Lytechinus pictus: one gene and its partner. The protein of the gene in region 1 interacts with the protein of each later gene in a pairwise test. Links are inferred from orthologs where the notes say so. Each region holds a gene or a part of one and is shown on either strand. Other genes may lie near its edges.

Region 1 (6,959 bases):
GTGATTTCGATCTCATACCTATAAAAAAAAAAATAGAACAGCTACGCCTTGAACACAGGCAAAAATGCCTAACGATTTCTCCGCGGCATTAACAACTCTCGTAAGGGGCGCTCCATTTATAAATAAAGTTGCATATGTAGCTGTCTACCGCGACAGGAACAGCCGCAGAATTGAAGCCAGAAGCGTGGGAAATTGCCAGAAAATTCAAGAAAAGAACCGGTGAGTACCGATTTAACAGTACTAATTTATTAAGTAACATTTATTGAATCATAAGAAGATTTATTTTTTAGTAAAACAAAGCTTAGTTCTAAGCTAGGGCGGCCCAAATGCGCGTGAGTGGAGTCCCAGTTTATTAGCACGGGTAAGTATTGGGGTGTCGCCTAGAGTGACCCTCATCATGCTCATGGCTCATCCTCATCTTCATCATCATCATCTGGTACGGGATGAAGGCGCAAGCCTGTAATTCCCGGTCGTTTCTTGTATGATTGGTCACTGAAAACTACTACTTCATGAGCTTGCGTGAGGAGTCATGGAAGCTCAAAGTGTTTTTTTTGCCAAAAAATATCAATATTTCTTTTAAATTTGTCTGTTGTTGGCATTTGTATTAGGTTTTCAGGAAGACTATTCCAGTCATTGATGACTCTTCTACTGAAAGACTTATTTCTCACATCCAGTTTGCTATGGGATTTCAATAATTTCATGGAGTGACCTCTTGTAGAGTTACTACCAGACTTGGAGAAGAAATGGTCTGGAGAAATGTTGACCAATCCATGCATAATCTGGTGGACCATTATCATATCTCCTCTCCTCCTTCTATAATAGAGTGAGTACATGTTAAGTTCCCTGAGTCTCCTTTCATACGGTACGTTTCTCAAGTCCTTCACTAGTTTTGTTGCTCGTCTCTGTACTCTCTCAACCTTCTTGGCATGTTCTGTAAATCTACCGTTCCAGATGACGCTCCCATATTCCAGATGTGGTCTAATTAATGTCTTGAAGAGAATGGGCAAGGTAGATTTGTTTAGTTGAGTGAAAGTTCTCTTTACGATTCCAAGCAGTTGGTATGCCTTATTAACAGCTAGAGACACATGCTGATGAAATTTCAATTGATTATCAACTGTTACCCCAAGATCCTTTTCAGTAGCTACTGACTTCACTTCTTGTTCCAGCATATAAAATTTTGCTTCTGGATTATTCCTTCCGATGTGTAGAACTTTACATTTACTGCTATTGAAAGGTAACTGCCATTTCGCTGACCATAATTGTAGTCTATCCAGGTCTTCTTGAAGATCTTTGATCTTTGATAAGTCACTCACTATATTGTAAAGTTTGGTGTCGTCGGCAAATAAAGCAACATTACTCTTGTTGACAGCAGATGATAGGTCATTGATAAAGACTAGGAAGAGAATAGGTCCGAGAACACTCCCTTGCGGTATTCCGCTTGATACTGGAGACCATGGAGATAGTTCCCTGTTTACTCGTACACGCTGAACTCTTCCTGTCAAAAATTCTCGCATCCAGATAAGAAGTTGGCCCGTAATTCCGTGTCTCTCTAGTTTACGTAGTAGCCTTTCATGGGGAACACTGTCAAATGCTTTGCGAAAATCTAAGTACAAAACATCGATTGGCTTCCCTTCATCAAGCATCTGCGTCCATTCTTCAAGCACATACAGAAGTTGTGTGGAACATGACCGTCCTGGGATGAATCCATGTTGGTTATAATACAACAATTGATTATTTTGCAAATGATCCACTACAGCATTCCTCACAATCTTTTCCATTAGTTTTCCTGCTATCGATGTAAGACTCACCGGTCTGTAGTTAGAAATCTGTGTTCTAGTTCCTTTCTTGGGAAGAGGAATTACAATTCCCTTTTTCCAGTCAGCTGGAATTTTACCTTCATGCATTGACTTGTTGAATATGATAGATAGTGGTTCTGCAATAACTTCACCCAACTCCTTCAGCACTTTAGGATGGATCCCGTCTGGGCCAGCTGATTTATTCACATTTAAGGTTTTGATCATTTTTGTCACATCTGATGTTTCAAATCCTAACTTTTCCATACAAGGTATATCAGCGTCTACTCCGGTCACATAATCTGGAAAGTTTTGTAAGTCTTCAACAGTAAATACTTCACAAAAGTATTTGTTAAGGACATCTGCCTTTTCCTTATCAGTTTCTACTAGAGATCCATCATCTCTTCTAAGACTTCCTATCTGACTTCTACCTTTAATCTTACTATTTGCGTACCTCCAAAAAGCCTTAGGATTAAAGTTGATACTTTCCACTAGGTCATCTTCAAAGACAAAGTTACGACTGGCTGCTCTTGTTGCCTTTCTTAGCTCATTTCTTGCCTTCTTATATGAATTTAAGTCTGCTTGTTTCTCGTCTTCATTTCTATAAACACTTTTGGTATAGCGTTTCCAGTTTCGTGCTTTTTTCTTAGAAAGTTTCAGGATTGGTTTAGTAATATAGATGTTCCGTCTTTTGTCTTTACTACATTGTCTAACTTATGAAGACTAAGCATCTTGTCTTCTTGAATCCTTGATTATAAATTTTTCTCCTCATTAAAGCTATAGTGAATTGGGATATCAAAACTTAAAATGCAGACTCTGAGTCTAACTTATGAAGACTAAGCAAGTGAGCAAGAGTATAATAATAACAAGTTTATGCTTTCTGAAAAACAATGGCAATGCAACACAAGTTTATTCAGAACACCACACAAAATTGCACGTCTGGGACTGTTCTCATTATTTTGATGGAAATAAATGTTTTCTTTTCATAACGTATGGAAAAAGATTTTTGGTGAATCAGAACGAAAAACATCAACCCAAATATTTGGATAGATAAGCTTACCAAATATATTGTCACATGAAAGTATGAACAGCCATCGCTGGAAACTGGAAAGCGAATCCCCGGAAGCTTTTCGCCCTGCCTATCCCAACATGGCGAAAACAACGCTAAGAGTGCAGCGGCGCCGCGCCGCGCTAAGCGAGCGCGCGGTGTATGTCGCGTCGAGGAACTAGTACAAGTACCGGTATCGAACGTTATAGGGCGCGGCCAATGGGTGTGGTCATCGGACCCCATCGGTCATCATTATTTAGGTATAAAGCAATTGACATTATTATGTACGGCCTGGTACCACAAACCCAATTTTTAAGTCCCTATCCGAGATCCCCTGTGTCTGCATGAAGCGACCACCAAAAAATATAAGAAGAAATCGTCGCATTTTCCTCCCCCCCCCCAAAAAAAAAAATGTATCGGTAGGCCTAGTAATAACTTTTGGATCAAGGGGGGGGGGGGGGTAGGCCTATTATAAAGAATAGGTATCATGCTTGAATCTAGTGCAAATTAAAGGACAAGTCCACCCCAACCAAAAGTTGATTTAATTGAATAAAAAGAGAAAAATCCAACAAGCAAAACACTGAAAATTTCATCAAAATCAGATGTAAAATAAGAAAGTTATGACATTTTAAAGTTTCACTTAGTTTCACAAAACAGTTATATGCACAACCTGTTCGGTATGCAAAAGAGGAGACTGATGACGTCATCCACTCACTATTTCTTTTGTATTTTATTATAATGATATATTCTAATGTTCTCCTCATTGTCAAGTGAAACAACGATTATACAATTCCTCCCTGAACATGTGGAATTAGCAAGGTTCAGTAAACTTGGTCATTATTGTCAAATCTGTGAAAATGAAATATTGTATATAATTATTTTATAATTCAAATAATAAAAACAAAAGAAATAGTGAGTGATAGACATCATCGACTGACTCATTCGCATGACACTGAGTTGTGCATATCACTGTTTTGTGAAATACAAGCGAAACTTTATTAAAATGCCATAACTTTCTTATTTTACATCCGATTTTGATGAAATTTTCAGCGTTATGCTGGTTTATTTTTCTCTATTTATTCTAATCAAAATTTTTCTGGGATGGACTTGACCTTTAAGGACTGGCGCCCAGCGCGGCTGACCTGAAAACCTGTAAACGGGACAATCATGTCTTGAGCACTTTTTGTAACTGAACAGGATGCATACCTCACTAAAGCGCGAGCAGAACCATTTTCTGAACCAACTTAAGAACAGGGTCTAATTAACAATCAAAGAGAGTGTGAAGAGCGATTCTTCCCTGAGCCCCGGCCCCACCCATTTCTTTACTTTTCCATTTGTTCACCCTTTTTACCCATCTCCCTATTTCTGTGACTTATTAGGCCTCGCCATGTGGCCACTTTGGTCCCATGGATTCGCTATGCTGCGATAATACAAAGTCAAGTTCTCAGAAAAGCAAAAGAAAAACAAGCTACAATAAGAAAAATAAATGGATCATTTCACGAATTGAGCACCACCAAAGTGTTGAACTCGAGCTGAGCGACAACTATTTAGGGGGAAAATTCTAAAATCTCATGCATTATAAAGGTTACGTCCACCACTGTGACAGAAAAACGTTGATTTGAATCAAATCAAGCATAACGCTGAAAAAATCATCAAAATCGGATGTAAAATAGTTCGGTCTTTGTTCTTTTATTGGGTTCCTCGTCGAAATAAAATGATCATTATAAAAACGCAAATTCATTCACTAAAATGCCCCTTTTTATAATTATCATTCACCCCATAACAATTATAGGACAAACAAATTGCAGAAATAAATATTGAACAAAACTTTGGGGATTACCGAAACCTAAAAGAGGCGAAAGTGATGGCCATCATCAATATCTTTCCAAATAAACTTTATCTAATTTGATTGAAAAAAAAAAAACAATTTAATTCAATGGCTGATGAAAGAATTTCTGCTTTAGCGCCATCTCTGTTCATTGTGCAACAGCTTGCTCAGCCAGAAATTTCGGTAATAAATTTCTCACTGACTTCAGCGAAATTTCTATCATATCTATGGAAGACAGAAATGAAAACAAAAGTAGATAACTACATTTTACTCATTAATTATTACACTAAGTTCCGACCCTTTTAATTACCCATTGTCCAATGTCTTTACAAGTACATACATGCAGTTTGATTAAATTTTATGTACATATTTTGAAGATCATTTTGTTTCCATGACTGTATTTGTACATGGCTTGCCTGAGACCTTTACGGTATTAATGTTATGCACGATCGTAAAATTTATTGTACATTTTTTGGTTACATGTCAAAGTTGTCAATTTCGGAAAATACATGTATGTGGAAAAGGTATGCCTGAATGAAACAAAATAGACAACCCCCCCCCCAAAAAAAAAAAATAGACAACCCCACAAAAAAAAAATTTCTCAAAGACAGCTATTATTTCCCTCTATTCTCGTCTTAATTTTCTTCTCTTCACTCTTTCTTCCTCCCCTCTTTTCTCCATTTTCTTTTCGTCTCTCTTCCCATTTTTCTTCTCTAACTCTTCCTCTTCCCATTTCGTTTTCTTCACCGTTTCTCGCATCTTATGTTTCAATTTCTCTACTCGGTACAATTCCCACCCTTTTTCTCACTTTTAATTTCCTTCTCATTTCATCTTTTCTTCTCCCCTCTCTCCCTTCTTGTTTTATTCTTCTATTTCATCATTCTAATTTTTCCCTTCGTCCTCTCATTTTTTATCTTTTCTCTGTTTTTCCCATTCTTCTCTCTCGTTCGTTGTTCTCCACTTTTACCTCTTCCTACTCACTTTCCCCCATTTTCTCTTCCACATTATTCCTATTTCTCCTTCCTTCTTGCCCAACATCCTGCTCGCTTCCAACACATCAAAACAATTAACAAATACATGGACACAGGGTAAAACAGATATCGTTTTGTACAATTTATGATTTTTTTTATCATTTTATTTTGTCAGATGTTGTTGTAACACAAAATGTCGACACAATATTACATCCAGCACACAGAGAACCTGTAAGGGCTTTTGGGAGAAATAAATGTACTAAAACATTTCAAAAGTTATACGGTCATTTGCATATTTTGCAATAGGACTATGTAACAGGGTATATATGTGGATAACTGCGTGCAGGGCATAGGGATTTTGGTTAATACCATACAGAATCAAAATTGGCATCAAATATATTAATTCTGGAATGTAAAATTACAACTAGGTAAAAGGAGTTATATATCAAACAATTTCAAACTTAAAAGACAAATGTGGGAAAATTGGTTTTCATTAAAAGTATTTTTTTTCTGTTGAGATTTCTGTGTTGAACTAGTGCAGTTTAACGCCTACAAATATTTATATAAAGACGGACTGGTCAGTTCAATAACATTAAAAAAAGCATAATTTATACTCTTGTCTAGTATACAATTATGCACTTTATTTATGTCACTGTTAATTTATGCATGCCAATCTATAACTTTAGCAAGATAAAAAAAAATCCAGAACCATACATATATTTTGTGCAGTATTATACATGCTTTTTAAGTTAAATAATAATTTTGACAGATAATGAATGAATTTCAATGGAATGATATAATCTCTTTACAGTAATACAATGCAGTCCCTGTTTTGGGTATATAAATAAGATTACAGTAATGGAATTTATCATTTCTTGATTAAATACATTTTTTTTTTGGTTTTCCTTTTACCCCTTATATCACTGGGGATTCATAAAAGTCACTGTGCCTGGAGTAGAAACAAAGAGTCATTTATATCTCTTTTTTTTTCAAAAATGAAATGCATAAAAATGTTCCAACCTTCAAAATAAACAATTTCATTCCATAAGTTATATATGAACAACAATAGATTACTCTCTTCATGTACAATACACAAATGAACAAAGCGTATATACCGACATTATATGCCATGTACAATAAAAATACAACAGTAACACTATCATGAAATATATCGGTCATTTTTTCCATCTCGGACCCCCCCCCCCCCCCCCCCATTTGCAAGGTGCTACATAACATAGAACCCCAACTACAATTAACCGGAATAGCAGCAAGTTTAGCGCTCGATACATATCCCATAAATTGTAGAAAAATACAGTGTT
Region 2 (6,963 bases), on another chromosome or scaffold:
CCTAAAAAAACCATCAGATTTTTTATTAGACGTCTTCCGGCATGCTGCAGGACTCTAACCCACGCACGTTGAGATCTACGATCTTATCCGGAACAGGCGCTCTAACCGACTGAGCTACGCTACGCTGCCTCCCTTGGTGCTGAAATTTCACATTTTACATCTTTTTTTTCATGAAATAGGCATCTATTTTCCATAATTCCTTGAAATTATTTTGATTAAGTTGGAAACTACTGAAGAAATTAAGAATATTCACCTCTTTCCTGACTCTGATTTGATGTTAAACTCTGTAAATATTGTAGTCCCATATGTAGATTTTCATGGTGTTGACCAAGTGTAAATCGATCAATAACGATCTAACGATCATTTTCAGTTAATGTTGCAACACCATGGAAGTCTACATGTGGGACTACAATATTTACCGATTGTAACATCATCAATCAGTTTAAAAAACTCTTCTTGGAGTATTTCGGAGGAACATCATACCAAGTACCAAGAATTAAGAAAGAGCTGAATATTCTTCATTTAGTTTTCAACTAAATCAAAATAATTTCAAGGAATTAAGGAAAATAGATGGCGATTTTATGGATTTAAAGATGTAAAATGTGAAATTTTCGAAATTTTTGTACAGTATTTTTTGTAAAAAGTTTTTTTTTTTTAAATGCAGGAGTGTGATATTTTACACGACAAATCGTCCATAGACTGTGTACAACGGATAGATCGTCTCTGCACAGCAATTCGGAGACTGCTGATTGGTCAATCGTGCAGATCAGGTCATGACTACGTGGTTGCCAAAATAATTCCATCGGACTGCGTGCAGAAGTATCGATAGCGATAACGATATCCGGTCACCTTGTGTACGCGGGAAATGGTCGTGATCGCTCCGGCATCGATCGAAAATTATCGAAACTGCAATTTCATGCATATTCACGCGACGCTCCGAAACCGGGAAGCCAATTGACTTTGTGCACGTTGCGATAGACTACAAATTCCAATGAACACGATGCCATACCGACGCTAATTCGTAAGATTTTGACAGAAAAGCAAGAAGTAATCGAAATTCGCTTACCTGTGCGGTATCGGTGAGAAAATATAACCTCCGAGAAACCCTTTCATAATTCATATAAAATATAAGTGAAATTATTTCTAGGTCGATTTAGGTACGAGGTGATAGAGAATTGCACACTTGTTTTGGTGGAATACTGTGTGGGGAAATGGAAGGCTTGCACTACGCTAGACCAAAAGCTTCAGTCTCTGTATTTTGGTTGTTCCGCTGAACTATGTTGGCTCCACTCACCATACATAGACTGAAGGGGATGGGGCCCCGTACCTACAGCCAACGTATAGTGAACTAGCGTTTTATAGATCGCGATTTAAAACTGTTTTTTAAGCAAAATTGAAAGTTTCATGGTTTCCATTATCAGGGAAATATAAATAACTTAAGTAATTGCATACCTTGGGCCGGAGTTATTGAAAAAAATCCTCTGGATGATTGAGAAATCTGTCATCTAAGACATTTTCACCTGACCTGACGGTTTTTCTTGCAAGTTGCCATCTTGAATGACGTCATTATCGTTATTAACTTAATGTCTCGAATCGATATATCGCGATTATAACTAGTACTAGTACTAGTATAACTAGTATCGTTTATCTTCGGTTTCGTTCGCATATGGAGCAGATCGTATAATATCGAAAGCAATATCGATATCACATTCGTGATTGTTGACGTTCGTTTGTAAATATTTTATAGTTTGGCTGCCATTTTGACCATTTTTTTCGTGTTCAACCCAATTAAACATCGGTAAAGTATATTTTTCATGCCTTTTTCATCTATATCGTTTAAAGTATTTAAACATTGAAATATTAATTTTTAAAAGTTTGTTGTTTATACATCCTTAGATTGTAAATTCGATGTGTAAAATTACATCAAACTTTGGACTGTGAATTGACAAAAGGGAGGGAATGAGAACACATGCGAGCCCACACGTACACCCTTCCGTCGGTAAATGGGGATTACAGTAAAATGTCAGAAATTGTTGAATAAATCCCCAGAAACGACGGTTATTCCTGTCTAGCACTACGCATGCTTACTATATTTTCATTCATAAATTGGCTCTCGGCAATGGCTGGATGACGTCATGTAATAAGCAAATGTACACGACCGCTAGCGTTGAATAAACGTATTGACCCTGGCCTGGCCAGGCCTTGTTTCACCACAGAATAGGCCTACAGACACATCTATAGGATAGTAAATTAGTATAGCATTTACAATTTTAAGAAAAATCTACAATTTATCATAAGATTCATATATATATTGTATTGAATAGATTTGAGCTCCTCAAGAAGAGCGATTCTGAGAAGCTCAATTAAGCTGCTGGAAAAATAAGGAGAGCGATTTATTGAGCCCCACGAAATAAACGTGAAGCTGAACTTGAACTTGAAGGACTGATTTCATGATTTCACATGATATTATCGAGATGGAGATTATCTAGTCTACATTGGCTTGCAAATTACATACTAGTAGGGCCTATTCAACAAGCATTGATGCAAATTTCATTTTGTGAAAAAATATTTTGGAACAAAAATATTGTAAGTATAGAATCGTACGTCTAGTGTGCTAAAACGGTGATTTTACTTCTGTGTTATTCGAACGCAACCATCAAGGAATCGTGCTTACACCAATTCCCTTGTGTGCATCATATATTGCATACGGTGGTAATATGAGTGGCCCACTGTTATTCGTACCTTTTTGATGTTGTATAATCTTGCGAGCATTCCTGTGCCACGATCATTGAGAATTGAGAGTTTTTCAGCCAGCTTGAGCTGGCCTTGAGATACAGGCATCCTGCTGGACATATCAGACAGTAATCAACGACATCTAGACTCTAATTAAAGCTGCAATAAAGGGCATTCGATACAGGTTTAGCATTCAAGGTGCGGCCTTGTCGCAAAATTAGGGAACTCAGCCGCTCGTTAATGCAAACCAGGAAGAAAGTCCATCAAAACAATTTACAAACTTTATTAAAGGCTTTTTTATATAAATAAGATTTTTTTTTACTTCCACTTTTTCGAATAAAAATAATTGATATTAATAGAATTTATTATTTTACATCACTTAGATTATAAATATATATTTTGATACACATAAATATATTATTTTTTTAATGTAAGCCGGCAATATCATCTTATGCATATCGTGAACCATATAGAATTTCAGCACGTGAATGCGGAAGGAAAATCAATAAACATGCGTGGCGCGCCTAATGCCCCCCCCCCCCTAGACATATGGACTGTTTTTTCTATCAAGGTATTTTTTCCATACAGGGTCATAAATGTCAACTAGTGAACGTAACTTTTTTTTATTAAAGAAATAGTTCGTGGTTGATAAACTTATTTTACCGCAAAGGAATTTTCCGAGTCTCGATGGGATAAACAGTTTTTTTTTTTAATAAACAATTTTTTTTTTCAAGTGATCGAGCGTTTTTACTCGAAAACAGATGTGCATCAGGAGGGGGTGAGAGTGGGCGGGGAAGGAGAAAAATGTTATCCATATTTTTCTGCAAAAGCCGGGCTGCTGGAAGAGCTAATTGGTGGGGATGGGGGTCGGAACGGGGGTCCAGAATCAAAGATTGAAGTAATTTCTTGGCGTTATTTTTCAGTACAAATTATAACAATTTAGGTATGAAGCACGACCCATTTTTTTCATACTGAATTGAACAGGGAAGTTTTAATGCCGTTTGAATTCATCATACAAAAAAAGTATATCCATAAGTTTAAGTATCTCACTATAAATACTAAATGCATGTGAGCTAAATTTTCTTTTTAGTGTACTGACCTAAAAAACGAAAGTTTTATGCAATATGACATTTTATAATCATGAACAGGACACATAATATAATGTGAGCTCATGAAGCCAAGCTGATCGAACCATCGATCAGAGAGTTCTCACTGGCCCCAGAAACATATTAGGCATTATTTAGCACAAGGAAATCATATGGCATAGGCCTATTCTGGACCGCGGAATGAGAGGGATTAGCCTTCCGTTGTTTAATCCAGTTTAAATATAGGAGTATACGGTGTCCATTTATGTGATTGTGATTGCAGCATATTGCCCCTCCAGGTTTTCGTTACACAATCTATGACCATGCTGTCTCATAAAACAATCATTTCTTTTCACCCAATTATCCAAATACAAAACAGCAGCTTCATTCCTTAGCTATATATAACAAAATAATTTCACTAGAAAAAATAAATTATTTAGAAAACTAATGTCAATCGAATGAAAAACCATGCATTTTCATCAAGAAAACGCTGCATGTTTATCCCGATGTTTATCAAAAATATATTTTTTTATTTCCTAGTATTAAACTTGCATTATAAAAAAAAAAACTATAAAGAATGTATCCCTCCCCCCGAAAAGCTGGGTTTGACTTTTATATACACAACCATACAAAATCTGTAGTCTGATATCTGCGGGACGTACAAAAGGAATTATCGTCCGATTCGTGGGTCCCCATCCGACGAGGCGCAACACCGAGGGGGGGGGGGGGGGCAGGGGAACGTACAGTATATATCCACATAATAATTTTCTTCATGTCAAACAATGATCGAAACTTTCATTTTCGGGTCAGTATAATATGTAGTGAGATAGAGATAGAGAACCTATTACAAACAAGTGGTTATATAAATACTCCGTTTTCCGGTCTGGATACAAAACAAATGTTCAGTTTGCGCTTCGCGCTCGCAATATATGATCGAATCGTGAGGTGTTTGATCCTCTAAACTAATAGCAAGAAACCGGCAAGAAACAGTCCTTGACATTTTCCTTTTTTACATATCAGTATATCAAAGATTTTAGCTCACCGGTTATCGCGCTGGCTTAATTGCTTTAATGTGCGTTCGATTAAAAAAAATATATATTTTGTAGGCATTCCCCGAAGTTCTCCGCCAGGAAGTGTTACTCGCTGCTCAGTGATGGTGGCGTAGTGCAGAAAGTTTGAAGGAGCTAGGTATGGCGTACCGCGTAAGAAGTTGAGAGTGATATATTACAAAAATCTAATATTGTCATAGATATTGACATAATATTCAGGAAATGATATCATATCTCACCTTTCTCTCTTTCCCTTTTATCAATCCCCTTCTCTTCTTTTTTTACTAGGTCATGATTTTTTTTTGGAGGGGGGGGGGGGGCAAGCACCCCCAATTAAGGCCTCCCCTGCGATAGGCCTATTAGGCCTACGACATCGAGAGGAATCATATATATTGTAAACCATGAACGGAGTTTTATTTGTAAATGATTATAAAAAGATACTGAAGACTGTCTATCATAATATCATACAATATTAAACATTCATGCATCCCCCGTTATGTTCTAATCTTCAAACTCTAGCCTCAGTCCGGCTTACTTGGCCTCGCTTTCTTAAAAACCTTTTGATGACTCCATGACTTAATTGCGACAATTTCTCACAGGAACAACATGATAATCTAAACCTCAAACATATCACCCTAGCTATAAATCCAAATAAACATTTTTTCTGAAACAAATCAATTTCTATCAAAGTAAAGATTTAGCGGGGTCGAGCATATACCAGGTGTCAAAGTAGTAATACAGTACTAGGCGAGATCTATGCAAACTATTTTCGAATTAAAATTTTGAAGGGATTTTTATAATTTATATCAGGATAGGAATGCTAATTACAGTGTCCCTTTCCAGTTTTATTGCAGGGCAATTGCTTTCATTAAGTTCTCTTTATTCTTGCCATAACATAGTTTGAAAGAGATCAGAGTATTATTTTTGAAAATGATATCATCTCTCGTAAAAAGGCTCACCTCATATTATATTCTAACGTCTTCGATTCTTTTAAATGACAATGATAACGGTGACTGAGAATATTGATAATCATGATATCGATAGTATCATTAGGCGTGTCATTGGTCTTTTGTCAAATTTGATTACCATTTAACAATGTTTTCAACTAAGAAAAGTAAATTCTCAATTGTGAAATTATAACTTCATTTTTTCATGCCTTATACATATCCACATTATAACATATAAAAAGTCAGAAGAAATTTGAGGGGTGAAGTAAACAGTCGGCCTAATCTTATATAAAAATAAAGAAATATTTCTTCCCCGAGCTCTATACGAGGAATGACAAGGACATATTTGCAAGCCTTTTGCAAAACCATATATCAACTTTTCTTCCATTTGTTTGTTTCTTGTTTTTTTGTGTGACAGAGAATTTTTTTTTATTAATTTGCCAAAAGAGCAGAAATAATATATACACAACAAAAAAAAGTATGTCCCCCCTAAATCAAATTGCTGTAACTTTTGAACGGAATTATTTTGAGATATGATATTCCGTAGGTGGTTTTCTACACTCATTAAGCAACTCCCGGAGAAAAATAAGATTGATCGGTTGAGTCATGCATGAGTAATTAAAGATTGAATTAAAAATGACCATTTTTGAAAGTCACAAGAGTCGTTTTTCAGATTGTGCACATACAAAGTTGGGCAAATGTTGTCTTTAAGTGAATTTTATGGTGTTATGCTGCTTTACTATCCATCATTTAGCCACTCCACACACAATTTTGATATCATATATTCATGGTTGAGTGAGCACAATATATTGCAGGGGCCTCAGAAGCGGGGGGGGGGGCTGGGCGGGGAGCTTCATCCCCCCACTTTTTTCCAAAAGCATGTACAAAAATGTAAAAATGACCATACGATTGTGATTTTTTGCATGGTCAGCCCCCCCCCCCCCCCCACTTTGAAAACCCTTCCCCGGCCCCTGTATTGTAACGTATCATCATAGGGGTTTATGGTTGTATCTTCTACAACTTGTTAGATCATGTTAAAATTTGAAAATGTTGGTGGCTCCCCCGATTATAGGCCCCTCCCCCCATTTTAAAATTCTGGACCCATCACTGATTTGTCCATAAATTAACCTGATCATGAGAAATTGTTAG

Evidence for each region. The genes of interacting proteins can lie anywhere in the genome.
Region 2: the proteins of cytoplasmic FMR1-interacting protein 1 homolog (region 1) and nck-associated protein 1-like interact in binary tests that used the Caenorhabditis elegans proteins (3 or more experiments, as listed by UniProt). The link is inferred for Lytechinus pictus from reciprocal best matches to the Caenorhabditis elegans genes gex-2 and gex-3.

What each region holds. Positions count from the first base shown.
Region 1 is NC_087249.1:49,436,631-49,443,589, forward strand, and holds the start of cytoplasmic FMR1-interacting protein 1 homolog, read right to left. Parts: upstream 3,002-6,959; 5' UTR 2,854-3,001; intron 1-2,853. UniProt on the Caenorhabditis elegans protein: Required for initial steps of body morphogenesis. May play a role in egg laying and yolk protein clatherin-mediated endocytosis by oocytes during oogenesis.
Region 2 is NW_026974140.1:15,023,821-15,030,783, forward strand, and holds the start of nck-associated protein 1-like, read right to left. Parts: upstream 3,003-6,963; 5' UTR 2,854-3,002; coding exon 2,743-2,853; intron 1-2,742. UniProt on the Caenorhabditis elegans protein: Rac effector required for tissue morphogenesis, cell migrations and egg laying. May play a role in egg laying and in yolk protein clatherin-mediated endocytosis by oocytes during oogenesis.